2 linked regions of the Caenorhabditis elegans genome follow. The protein of the gene in region 2 interacts with the protein of the main gene of each other region in a biochemical or structural test. Each region holds a gene or a part of one and is shown on either strand. Other genes may lie near its edges.

The links.
Region 1: of the proteins of sup-35 (region 2) and ubq-1, one has a biochemical effect on the other in vitro, tested with the Caenorhabditis elegans proteins (one study listed by BioGRID).

The regions. Positions count from the first base shown.
Region 1 is NC_003281.10:5,939,443-5,944,594, reverse strand, and holds ubq-1 (Ubiquitin-related), read right to left. Parts: upstream 3,610-5,152; 5' UTR 3,605-3,609; coding exon 3,238-3,604; intron 3,188-3,237; coding exon 2,732-3,187; intron 2,679-2,731; coding exon 1,995-2,678; intron 1,947-1,994; coding exon 1,263-1,946; intron 1,213-1,262; coding exon 887-1,212; 3' UTR 768-886; downstream 1-767. Other genes in the region: F25B5.5 (CDK5RAP1-like protein), read left to right, coding at 1-90, 136-266, 310-459, 509-679. UniProt on the Caenorhabditis elegans protein: Ubiquitin exists either covalently attached to another protein, or free (unanchored).
Region 2 is NC_003281.10:11,115,053-11,121,217, forward strand, and holds sup-35 (Regulator of microtubule dynamics protein 1), read right to left. Parts: upstream 4,175-6,165; 5' UTR 4,148-4,174; coding exon 4,089-4,147; intron 4,045-4,088; coding exon 3,895-4,044; intron 3,852-3,894; coding exon 3,734-3,851; intron 3,433-3,733; exon of another isoform or gene 3,309-3,432; intron 2,906-3,308; coding exon 2,837-2,905; intron 2,786-2,836; coding exon 2,183-2,785; 3' UTR 1,171-2,182; coding exon of another isoform or gene 1,099-1,170; 3' UTR 702-1,098; downstream 1-701. Other genes in the region: Y48A6C.4 (Pre-rRNA-processing protein Ipi1 N-terminal domain-containing protein), read left to right, coding at 4,751-4,856, 4,902-5,020, 5,068-5,321, 5,366-5,534.

The sequences.
Region 1 (5,152 bases), 5.2 Mb from region 2:
GAGATGATGAGACATTGGAACGGATGGAAAGAGGATACACAAGAGATCTGTATTTGAGATTAGTTGATGATATTAGACATGTTTTACCAAGTGAGTATGAATCACTCTTCAAACAAAACTTAATTATTTTATCAGGCGTCTCTCTGACAAGTGACTTCATTGCCGGATTCTGTGGAGAAACTGAACAAGCTCATCAGAACACACTTTCCCTCATTCGAGCCGTTCGTTATTCATTCTGCTTCGTTTTCCCCTACAGTATGCGTGGAGTGAGTCAGTTGCTGAAAATTGTTCCTATCAGATTATTTTCAGAAAACGCGAGCACATCATCGGTTAACAGACGATGTTCCAGAAGATGTAAAAGCAAGAAGACATTTAGATTTGACTACTGTATTTCGGGAAGAAGCATTGAAATTGAACCAAGCGCTTATCGGGTCGGAACAGACGGTTTTGTTGGAAGGAGTGAGTCATCTATAAACACCAATAAAATGAATTAAAATAATATTTTTAGAAGTCAAAAAGGGATGCATCATTTTCACATGGAAGGATCGATGGTGGTGTGAAAGCAGTGTTCGACAATTCGAAACTCTGTTTGGAACCTGGTCAATATGCAAAGATTCTGATCACCGACGCCAATTCGCAGACATTGAAAGCGCAACTCATAGGACAATCCAGCATCTGATCTATAAATATAGTTGAACCTTACACTTCATAGAGTAGTTATCTTTGTTGTTTGTTATTGTTAAAGATAAATCGTTTGAGTACACGAAAATGAATTTATTCAGAGCTCGTTCATTAAAATACAGAAATTCCCGAAGGAATAAAGAATAAATAATTGTTACTTGAACGGAGATCGAGGAGGAATAACGAGTGAATTGATGGGTTCGATTTAAATGTCTCCTCCGCGAAGACGAAGAACGAGATGAAGTGTCGACTCCTTTTGGATGTTGTAATCGGATAGAGTGCGTCCATCCTCGAGCTGCTTTCCAGCAAAGATCAAACGTTGCTGATCTGGTGGGATTCCCTCCTTATCCTGGATTTTGGCTTTGACATTCTCAATGGTGTCCGAAGCTTCGACCTCGAGAGTGATGGTTTTTCCAGTCAAAGTCTTGACGAAGATCTGCATACCTCCTCTGAGACGGAGCACCAAATGAAGAGTAGACTCCTTCTGGATATTGTAGTCCGAAAGGGTACGGCCATCCTCGAGTTGCTTTCCTGAAAAACAATAAAAATTAGTTTTAATTCTAAAAACAATATGAACTCACCAGCGAAAATAAGTCTCTGCTGATCTGGTGGAATTCCTTCCTTGTCTTGGATCTTGGCCTTGACATTTTCGATGGTGTCGGAGGCTTCGACTTCGAGGGTGATGGTCTTTCCGGTCAATGTCTTGACGAAGATCTGCATACCTCCTCTCAGACGGAGAACCAAATGAAGAGTAGACTCCTTTTGGATGTTGTAGTCGGAGAGGGTACGACCGTCTTCGAGTTGTTTTCCGGCGAAGATGAGTCTCTGCTGATCTGGTGGGATTCCTTCCTTGTCTTGAATCTTGGCCTTCACATTCTCGATGGTATCAGAGGCTTCGACTTCAAGTGTGATGGTCTTTCCAGTCAATGTCTTGACGAAGATCTGCATACCTCCTCTGAGACGGAGCACCAAATGGAGGGTTGATTCCTTCTGGATATTGTAGTCCGAAAGGGTACGGCCATCCTCGAGTTGCTTTCCGGCGAAGATCAAGCGTTGCTGATCTGGTGGGATACCTTCTTTGTCTTGGATCTTGGCCTTCACGTTCTCAATAGTGTCAGAAGCTTCCACCTCGAGCGTGATGGTCTTTCCTGTAAGAGTCTTGACGAAGATCTGCATTCCTCCTCGGAGACGGAGAACCAAGTGAAGAGTAGATTCCTTCTGAATGTTGTAATCAGAGAGCGTGCGCCCATCTTCCAATTGCTTTCCTGAAATAATAATAGTTGATTTGAGTTATGTATATCTATATAACGTACCGGCAAAGATAAGACGCTGCTGATCTGGTGGGATTCCTTCCTTGTCTTGGATCTTGGCCTTCACATTTTCGATGGTATCAGAGGCTTCGACTTCGAGGGTGATAGTCTTTCCAGTCAAAGTCTTCACGAAGATTTGCATACCTCCTCTCAAACGGAGAACCAAATGAAGAGTTGATTCCTTCTGGATGTTGTAGTCCGAAAGGGTGCGGCCGTCTTCGAGCTGCTTTCCAGCGAAGATGAGACGTTGCTGATCTGGAGGAATTCCTTCCTTGTCCTGAATCTTGGCCTTCACGTTCTCGATGGTATCGGAGGCTTCGACTTCGAGGGTGATGGTCTTTCCGATAAGAGTCTTGACGAAGATTTGCATTCCTCCTCGGAGACGGAGAACCAAATGAAGAGTAGACTCCTTTTGGATGTTGTAATCGGAGAGAGTACGGCCATCCTCGAGTTGCTTTCCGGCAAAGATCAAACGCTGTTGATCTGGTGGGATACCTTCCTTGTCTTGGATCTTGGCCTTCACGTTCTCAATAGTGTCAGAAGCTTCAACCTCAAGAGTAATAGTCTTTCCGGTCAAAGTCTTGACGAAGATCTGCATTCCTCCTCTTAGGCGGAGCACCAAATGGAGGGTTGATTCCTTCTGGATATTGTAGTCCGAAAGGGTACGGCCATCCTCGAGTTGCTTTCCTGAAAATATATAATAAATTTTAGGTCAAATATTAGATATTTTGCCAACGTACCAGCAAAAATAAGTCTCTGCTGATCTGGTGGAATTCCTTCCTTGTCTTGGATCTTGGCCTTGACATTTTCGATGGTGTCGGAGGCTTCGACTTCGAGGGTGATGGTCTTTCCGGTCAATGTCTTGACGAAGATCTGCATACCTCCTCTCAAACGGAGAACCAAATGAAGAGTTGATTCCTTCTGGATGTTGTAGTCCGAAAGGGTGCGGCCGTCCTCGAGCTGCTTTCCGGCGAAGATAAGTCTTTGCTGATCTGGTGGGATTCCTTCTTTATCTTGAATCTTAGCCTTGACATTTTCGATCGTGTCGGAAGCTTCGACTTCAAGTGTGATGGTCTTTCCAGTCAATGTCTTGACGAAGATCTGCATACCTCCTCTGAGGCGGAGCACCAAGTGGAGAGTAGACTCTTTCTGAATATTGTAATCAGAGAGTGTGCGTCCATCTTCCAATTGCTTTCCTGGAAAAAAATTAGTCTCTCATGAACAAAATTTGTTATATGTAACATACCAGCAAAGATAAGACGCTGCTGATCTGGTGGGATTCCCTCCTTGTCTTGAATCTTGGCCTTGACGTTCTCGATCGTGTCGGAAGCTTCAACTTCAAGTGTGATGGTCTTTCCAGTCAAAGTCTTGACAAAGATCTGCATTCCTCCTCTAAGACGAAGAACCAAGTGAAGAGTAGATTCCTTCTGGATGTTGTAGTCAGACAGGGTGCGGCCGTCCTCGAGCTGCTTTCCGGCGAAGATGAGACGCTGCTGATCTGGTGGAATTCCTTCCTTGTCTTGGATCTTGGCTTTGACATTTTCGATGGTATCGGAAGCCTCCACCTCCAGGGTGATAGTTTTTCCAGTCAACGTTTTGACGAAGATTTGCATGATTGCTGAAAAAATAGAAAATGAGTGCGAATAAAACTGGAATGAGGAGGCGAGAGAAGAGGTGATTATGAAAGAAAGTCCTAGAAAGTTGCGAAATATTACCCAAAAAATCGATACACTAGTAAGACTAACAAAGCAAACTTCATCCCCACTCGTCATAGGCAAGTCAAACGAAAAAAGAAAGGCATAAAAGTAAAATGGTAGTAAAGAGCTAATCGATGAGGAGTAATGTCCGAGTAGAGACAAGTGAAATGAGAATGGAGACAAGGTGGCACGCGAGCGGAGCGTTCTGGTCGAATGGGGTGTATGACTGCTGTATGCCCGCCTCAACGATCGATAAAACCCCCAACGCACGCGCACACTGACTCCGCCTTCCCCGAGTGTTGTTAGAGACGCAGATGTTCAGCTGATGTCCTCGTTTCTCTGACCGAAAATAACTACCAAGCAGTATTGCTAAAATGGGAAAATAATTCATATAACAACTGATTGAGATTATTCAAAAAAGCATGACATTTCTGTTGGTTTTACCCCGCTAAATCTTACAATTAGACAAAAAAAAAGAAACTCACCGTTTGGTAAACTGATTCTTGACAGTAATAAATTAAAGAGCGCCCAAAACGTGAATATTGAATCTACACGTTGAACTTTACTCAAACATTCTAATTAAACGACGCACGTATTATTGAAGGCCACAAAGTAAAAAATGTTGCTATGCTCACTTTCTGTTAGCAAGAAGTCGCCTATTACGAGAACCAGTGAGGAAGAGCAAGAGAAAGGAGGGGGGGGGGGGGGGTCGCTGACTCAAACGGCACTCTTTCTGCACAAGAAGAACATTCTAGAGTGCTGTGTAGGGAAAGAAATGATGAGGAAGAAGGGGACAATGTGTGCAGAGGGAATACAACGAAAATCGAACGGGGTGTTCTTTTTTCTCGTCATGCAACTGGGTCGACCAGTTTCTTTTCATCTTTAACTAAACGATAGAGAAATCATAGGCCTGAATAATAGTGACGTCTGTGTAAAGTATTGTTTCCATTTTTGTTACAGAAAATGATGAAACGAAGAATAGGAAAAGTGAACAGGGTCAGTTGTTCGTTTGACGCATATATAGGGAGAACATAAGAAAGAGCAGACGGTCAAGGACATTTTTTTATAATCTGCGACTAGCAGGAAAGTATGAATAATGTCCTAACGGCACCCGAACCAATTTTCAGACAGACGCGAAAGTGCTTGTACTTTGTACTGATGAACGAACGACAAAACAAGTGCAGTGAGAAAACGGGAGGACACTGGGGAGAATCATGTGAGCCCGTCATAAGACTAAAAGATGAGCTAGTGGCGATCAGGCGAAGGTTCAATACGACTATTGGGTCTTTTCAAGAGAGCCCCGGAAAACTAAATTTAAAAACATCAGTTAAGAGTACAACGAGAACAGGGAATGAGGAACGCACAGACTAAACATTAAAATTTTCCGATACTTTTCGAAAGTATTGCGAAATCAATAACAAAATACTTTGCTATGAGTTTTTTAAATGAAAACCGAAATAATGC
Region 2 (6,165 bases):
TTTGTGCAAACACCGTCACGCGCAAATGCATACACTTTTTCAACGCGCTGCGTGAAAATTCCTCTTGCGAGATCAAATATTTTTTCCCGCCATTTTCCAAAATTTTCGAGAGGGGGGTCGAGCCAGAACCCCGTGAGGATGATATATATATTGATAAGGGAGACCGGTGGAACGTGAGAATTTTGAATTCCCGCGCTGGACTACGGTAGAAAGGTGAAATTGGAATTTTTTGATAGACTCTGGAATTTTCGGTTAAAACACGGAATTCTGGCTTCCCTCATGAATCGAAATGGCAGAGTTTGCCGAATTAGGCCATTTTGGGTCGGAGAGATTTTGTGTAGATTTACGGCGCGTTTTAGTTGTAAAACTACAGTTTGTTGTCCGTGTGGAGTACACGAAAAAAATTGTTTTTGTTTTTTTTGTTGATTTGTATAAAATTTTTTGATACATTTTTTTGTAATAAATAATTGAAAAAATACAATAATAAATTATTATACATTCCCACAATTATGCAAGCTTATTTTAAAGACGCATACACTGTTGGGTCTCGTCACGAATTGCGTGATTTTGGACGCTTCTAGGATCCAAAAGACGTAGATCGTGGCGAGACCTAAAGGTAATTGCCATGACATTTTTTCGACGTATGTATAATAAAATTATTATTATCATAAAATGATAAAAAGTTTCTTCAAAGCAAAAAAATAAATTATTACACATTCTCAAAAATATACTCTCCTATTTTAAAGGCGCATACACTTCTGGGTCCCGCCACGATTCACATAATTTTGGGTTCTTTTAGGATCCAAAAGACGCAGATCGTGGCGAGACCCATCGGAAAAATATGAGTTTTTTTTTTCGATTGGTAATTTTTTGCAATTTTTGCAAAAAACATGCACCTTTCATCAGCTGGCATTTTTTGGCGAATGTATAATAACACTTTTTTGTCCTGCCACGATCCACGTAATTTTTAGTGATTTTAAGCTTCAAAAAGTCGAAATCGTGGTGAGACCCAAAGTACAAAAAATGTGTGCGCCTTTAAACTGAGATGAAATTTTTCGACGAATGTATAATAATTTTTTTCCAAATTTTTCACAGCACCTTATTACAAGATGGCCCAATTGGCCATAGTCCTTCGGCTCGACATTCTTGAAGAATTTGTAAAAACCCCATTGGTTTTTTTGGCCTGAAAATCTATTAAATTTTGGGACCGAGGCGTGTGAACAAGATAGGAAATAGAGGTGAAAACCTGAGAAATTATCGATTTTTTTGTATAGCCGTTAAATATAGAATAAAAATGTTGAAAAATTGGTTGAAGCGGAAATGTTTGGGGCAATTTATAAGGGGAAAAGGGATTTTTAAATTTCTAAATTTTGGAATTTTTCACTAGAAAAGAACCGTTAACTGAGAAAAATTCTAAAAATTAGCTTAAACTCGGCGGAATTTCAATTTTTTCGAAAAAAACTTGATTATGAAAATTCCAAAAACTTTCCAAAAATTCGAAATTTTGAGCCAGCTTCTTCTAGAAATTTTCTCAAGGAAGTTTCAACAGAAAAATCAATTTTTTGAGAAGAATATGAATTTTGAGCTCAATTTCACTCAATTTTCAGGGATTTTCTGAAAGTAAAAATTTTCAATTATTTGAGAAAAATAGAATTTCCGGATCAACTACACTATAAATTCTAGGAATTCAGGAAAAAAATAAATTCCAAAAAACCGAAATTTTGAGCCAACTTCTTCAGAAAATTAGCTTAAAATTCGTGGAAATTTAAAAATAAAAATTAACAGATTTTGGGCTCCAAAATACCAAATTTCTGGCTCAATTTCCCTCAATTTTCACGGATTTTCTAAAAATAAAAATTCTTTAAAAAATACCAAAAAAAAATTTTTGAGCCAGTTTTTTCAAAAAATTAGCTAAAAATCAGAAAAATTCCAAAAATTTTAATTTTTTCGAGAAATCTGGCCATTTTTTTTTCTATTTTTCAGTAAATGTTTTGGAATTTCCTATAGAAAATCGGGGAAAAATTTAAAAATCCAAATTTTTAAAAAAAGAAGTTGGGCTCCAAGAATCCCCTGAAAATGGGAATTTTGGGCCGATTTTTACGGAATTTTTACAATAAAAAAACGGAGGAAAGTGCAAACGGAAAAATGAGACACAGAAAATAAAATGGAAATAAAAGAAGGATCAAATTGAGCACAAGTCAAGGGCGTCGGCGAGCAACTCTTTCTCGATATCGTTCGACGGGTCCATTTTGAGTGCGAGCTGAAACATTCCAATGGCGGCTTCTTTGTTTTCATTGTAAAGAAGCGCTTTGCCCAGGTGTACAATATTATCGATCCAATACGGTATGAGATCGAAAGCGGATCTGAACTGATAAATGGCATCGTCGATAGCGTCATATGGGGTGGCATAATGATGAATTAACTGTTGTCGGTCAGACTCCCAAATCTCCAGTGCTGAAAGAGCCCAACGGCCAAGAATATTATTGTACATTGCATTTTTTCCTGCCTGGATAGAGATGGCACGATCGAGATATTGTCTGCAGTGTCTCATCTCCAGATTCTTTTCATCGCCTTCAAGATATTCGATTGCCTTTCCTGACATCACAGCGGCCCAATGAGCAGCCAAGATGTTGTACGAATCGGTGTTCCAGGCTTCGGTAGCGTACATCTTTCCTTTGATTATGATGTCCTTTCTCTTTTCCTTCTCAACAAAATTTCCAATTTTTGTACACAATTTTGCCAAACGACAGAGAAGATCGATGGACTTCTCTCCAGAATCGTATCTCTGCAAATTTCGAATTTTATTTCATTGTTTAAATACAAATGAATAGTCTACCATCTTTAAAGCTTCAAAACAGTCGATATAGAAGTCACGAGTAATCATTGGAGAATCAACGACAGCAATCTGAAATCGAATAATTTTTCGTTAAAAAGAGTATCAAAATTTTAAAACTGTCACATCAAATTTGAATTTAGCCAAGCCCGTGAAAAATTCCCTCTCGATTTCGGATGCCAAAAATTGGCTCGAATCGAGAGATATTCGGGAGATGCTGGAATCAAATAAGACCTACTTTCTTTTAGATTTCCGCCGATCACCACAAAAATGAAAAGAGTGGGTAATACATGGCGGCCGACAACCCACGGGTTCCGCGCCTCGCTCTAAATTAAGTCAATTAAGCCACACCCTATCAGTTGGTGTGCTTTTGAAGGGCGTGGCTTAATTTACTTAATTTATAGCGAGGCGCGGAACCCGTGGGTTGTCGGCCGCGATATATTACCCACTCTTTTCATTTTTGTGGTGATCGGCGGAAATCTAAAAGAAAGTAGGTCTTATTTGATTCCAGCATCTCCCGAATATCTCTCGATTCGAGCCAATTTTCGGCATCCGAAATCGAGCGGAGTTTTTCGCGGGCTTGGCTGGATTCAAATTTAAGGTGACAGTTTTAATATTTTACTTTTAATATAATACTTAACTGTATAAAAAACCTGAACTGCCTACTGTAGAACTGGCGTCGATGTATTGGCTTGCTATTTGTAATTTTCTGATCAAATTGTGACAGCGAAATTCAAGTTGTTGTCATTTTTGTGATTTCTTTTAATTTTTATCGAATGATTTCCGTAAGTCGCCGCTAGTGATACAGTAGTCTTTGAAAAAGTTACTGTAGTTTTCGATACAAGATATTTTGCGCAAAACGCATTCTCAGATAAAATAAAATTATCATCTGCTCCTTACCAGCTTTTCCGTGCTCGTGTTTCCCCAATGACGAATAACCGCTCGCATGATCACTGAATTGAATTCTTCAATCACATCACCGGATACTCTCACTGCTGCAATTATGGAATCTACAATTCTGAAATATTATATTTATTTTAGCTCTGAGATAACAACAATACCTAGTATTTCTAATTTTTGGATCATCGAATGTTTGAGCATTTTCGTGAGCTAAAAGAGTATGCTCTTTGGCCTCTTCTGCAGAGCCAAAGCTCTCTTCGCACTCTGAACACATGTGTTCCAGATGATGATCCGCAGTGAGATGATCGTCCCTGAAACAAAAACCGGTGATTATGCAATACAATGTTTGACTTACAGTTTGGAAAGCGAAAAAAGTCCACAATCTCCACGTGGGCACGCAAAAGTGTGAGCCATTTTATGTTCAAAAATAAAAATCTGAAAGTTCAAAAAATTAGGAATATTTCAGAACATTCATGCCATATAAATTACGAGCCTTCAGAATCACTAAATTTTTTAGGAGGACGAATGTGTGAAAGATATATGAAACTATAATACGTGAAAAATATTTATAAGAGTAAAACGTCGTTTAAAAATGAGAAAAAAGAAGATAAAATGCGGTAAAACACCGCGAAATTATTCAAATCACTCGATTCGCGCCTTTTTCCTATGCGCAGTAGAGCGCTTTTGCTTTGGAGACGTTGCTGTATTATGAGATAAATGAGTGTGCAGAAACGGGAACGCAGGATAATTATAAATTATTGTAAGGATCTGATTTGAGCATAGTGGGAAAAATTTTAACAATTTGGTTTTCAATTTATTTTAACTCTGAATAAAAGAAAATATTAAAAATTGGGCGTGATGTTTCTATTTATGGGAATAATTTTCTCTCGAATCAATATCTATGAAACTTGCACTTCACCGAGGCGTGGTCTCTCCTCTCTTTTTTTTTCCTTTGCCATTTTCGCATTTTTCTTGTTATTCTCTCAAGAAACACGCGAAAATTAACATTTTTTGCAGATGGTGACCAAAAAGAAGGCACGGAAAAACGAAGATTTCAAAAAAGTCAAGCTGAAGGTGGGAAAAAAGCTGAAAAAAACGACGACCACCGACACGACTATCAAAGGTGAGTTTTCACCCGATTTTCGCGAATTTTAATTCATTTTTTCAGCAAAACGAGTAGTATTGGCGACTCAGTTGGAGGAAAAAGTGGAAACAGATGATAATCCACTTAGTTTCCGTGGTCTAACGCTCGATGAGCTCTGCAAGCAGATGGGGCACTTTAATGCGGTAATTTTTCGCTGAATATCGATCAAAATTAATAAATTCTCGTTCAGAAAGTGAAAATGAACGCTATTCAAGGACTAAAACAGATTTTAACGTCTCGCCCGGATCTTGTCAACGTCCAGTTGAGGCTTTTGGTTCCCTGCGTGGCTGTGCACGTGGCTGACGCTTCTTTCGAGCCCTCCACACGTCAGAATCTACTGAATCTCTACAAAATTCTGTGTACAGCTTCAATTCAAGCAATGTCGGCTCATATCACACTTTTCCTGTCCCACGTGCTCCGCGCTCTAACGAATATCGTCACAGAGTGAGTGGATTTTTTCTGAAAAATGGGAAATTTTGAATTTTCAGAGTCCGCCACCTCGCACTGAGCACACTTTCGGTGCTTCTCGATCGATATCCGAGCCTTTGCCGGAATCATGCCGATCTCTTCCCCTGTTTTATCAATTATCTGGGCAGTTCGAAGCGTCTGGCGTGGAATAAGCCGGGATTAATCGATACAATTCTCAATTTCATCAATGTTCGTAGTTTTTTGCCTGGAAATTGCGAAAAATTCACTAGAAATTCGAGAAAATCGATTTTAAACTGCATTTTTATGTGTGGTCCTGGAAAACACAAAAAAACCAGAAAAAAATGAAGAAAAATCGATAAAAAATCCGATTTTGCAGCAAGAATCAGAGCAAAATTGCAATTTTGCGCTGAAAAAACTTAAAAAATGGATTAAATTCTGTATCTTTCGGTAAAAATCTTGGAAGTTGACTGAAAATCCGAAAAATAAATTTTTAAACTTGAACTTTCTGTTTAAAACACAAATTTTCGACTGAAAACTAGTGAAAAATTCAAATTTTGTGGTTAAAAAAGCTGAAAACTCAGCGATTTCCCAGAAAATTGATATTTTTCAGTAAAAATCTTAGAAGTTGGCTGAAAATCCGAAAAATACATTTTTTAAATTGCAATTTTCAGTTGAAAACTCCAAAAAATTACTAAAAACCACAAAATTTTGACCGAAACCTGTTAAAAATGGCAATTTTATTGTAAAAAAGCTGAAAATTCACTGGCATCTAGTTTTTTTTCAGAAAAAATACTGAAAATTGACGAAATTTGCAGTTTTTTCAGTGAAAATCTGGAAAAAATGCACGAAATCTCGTAAT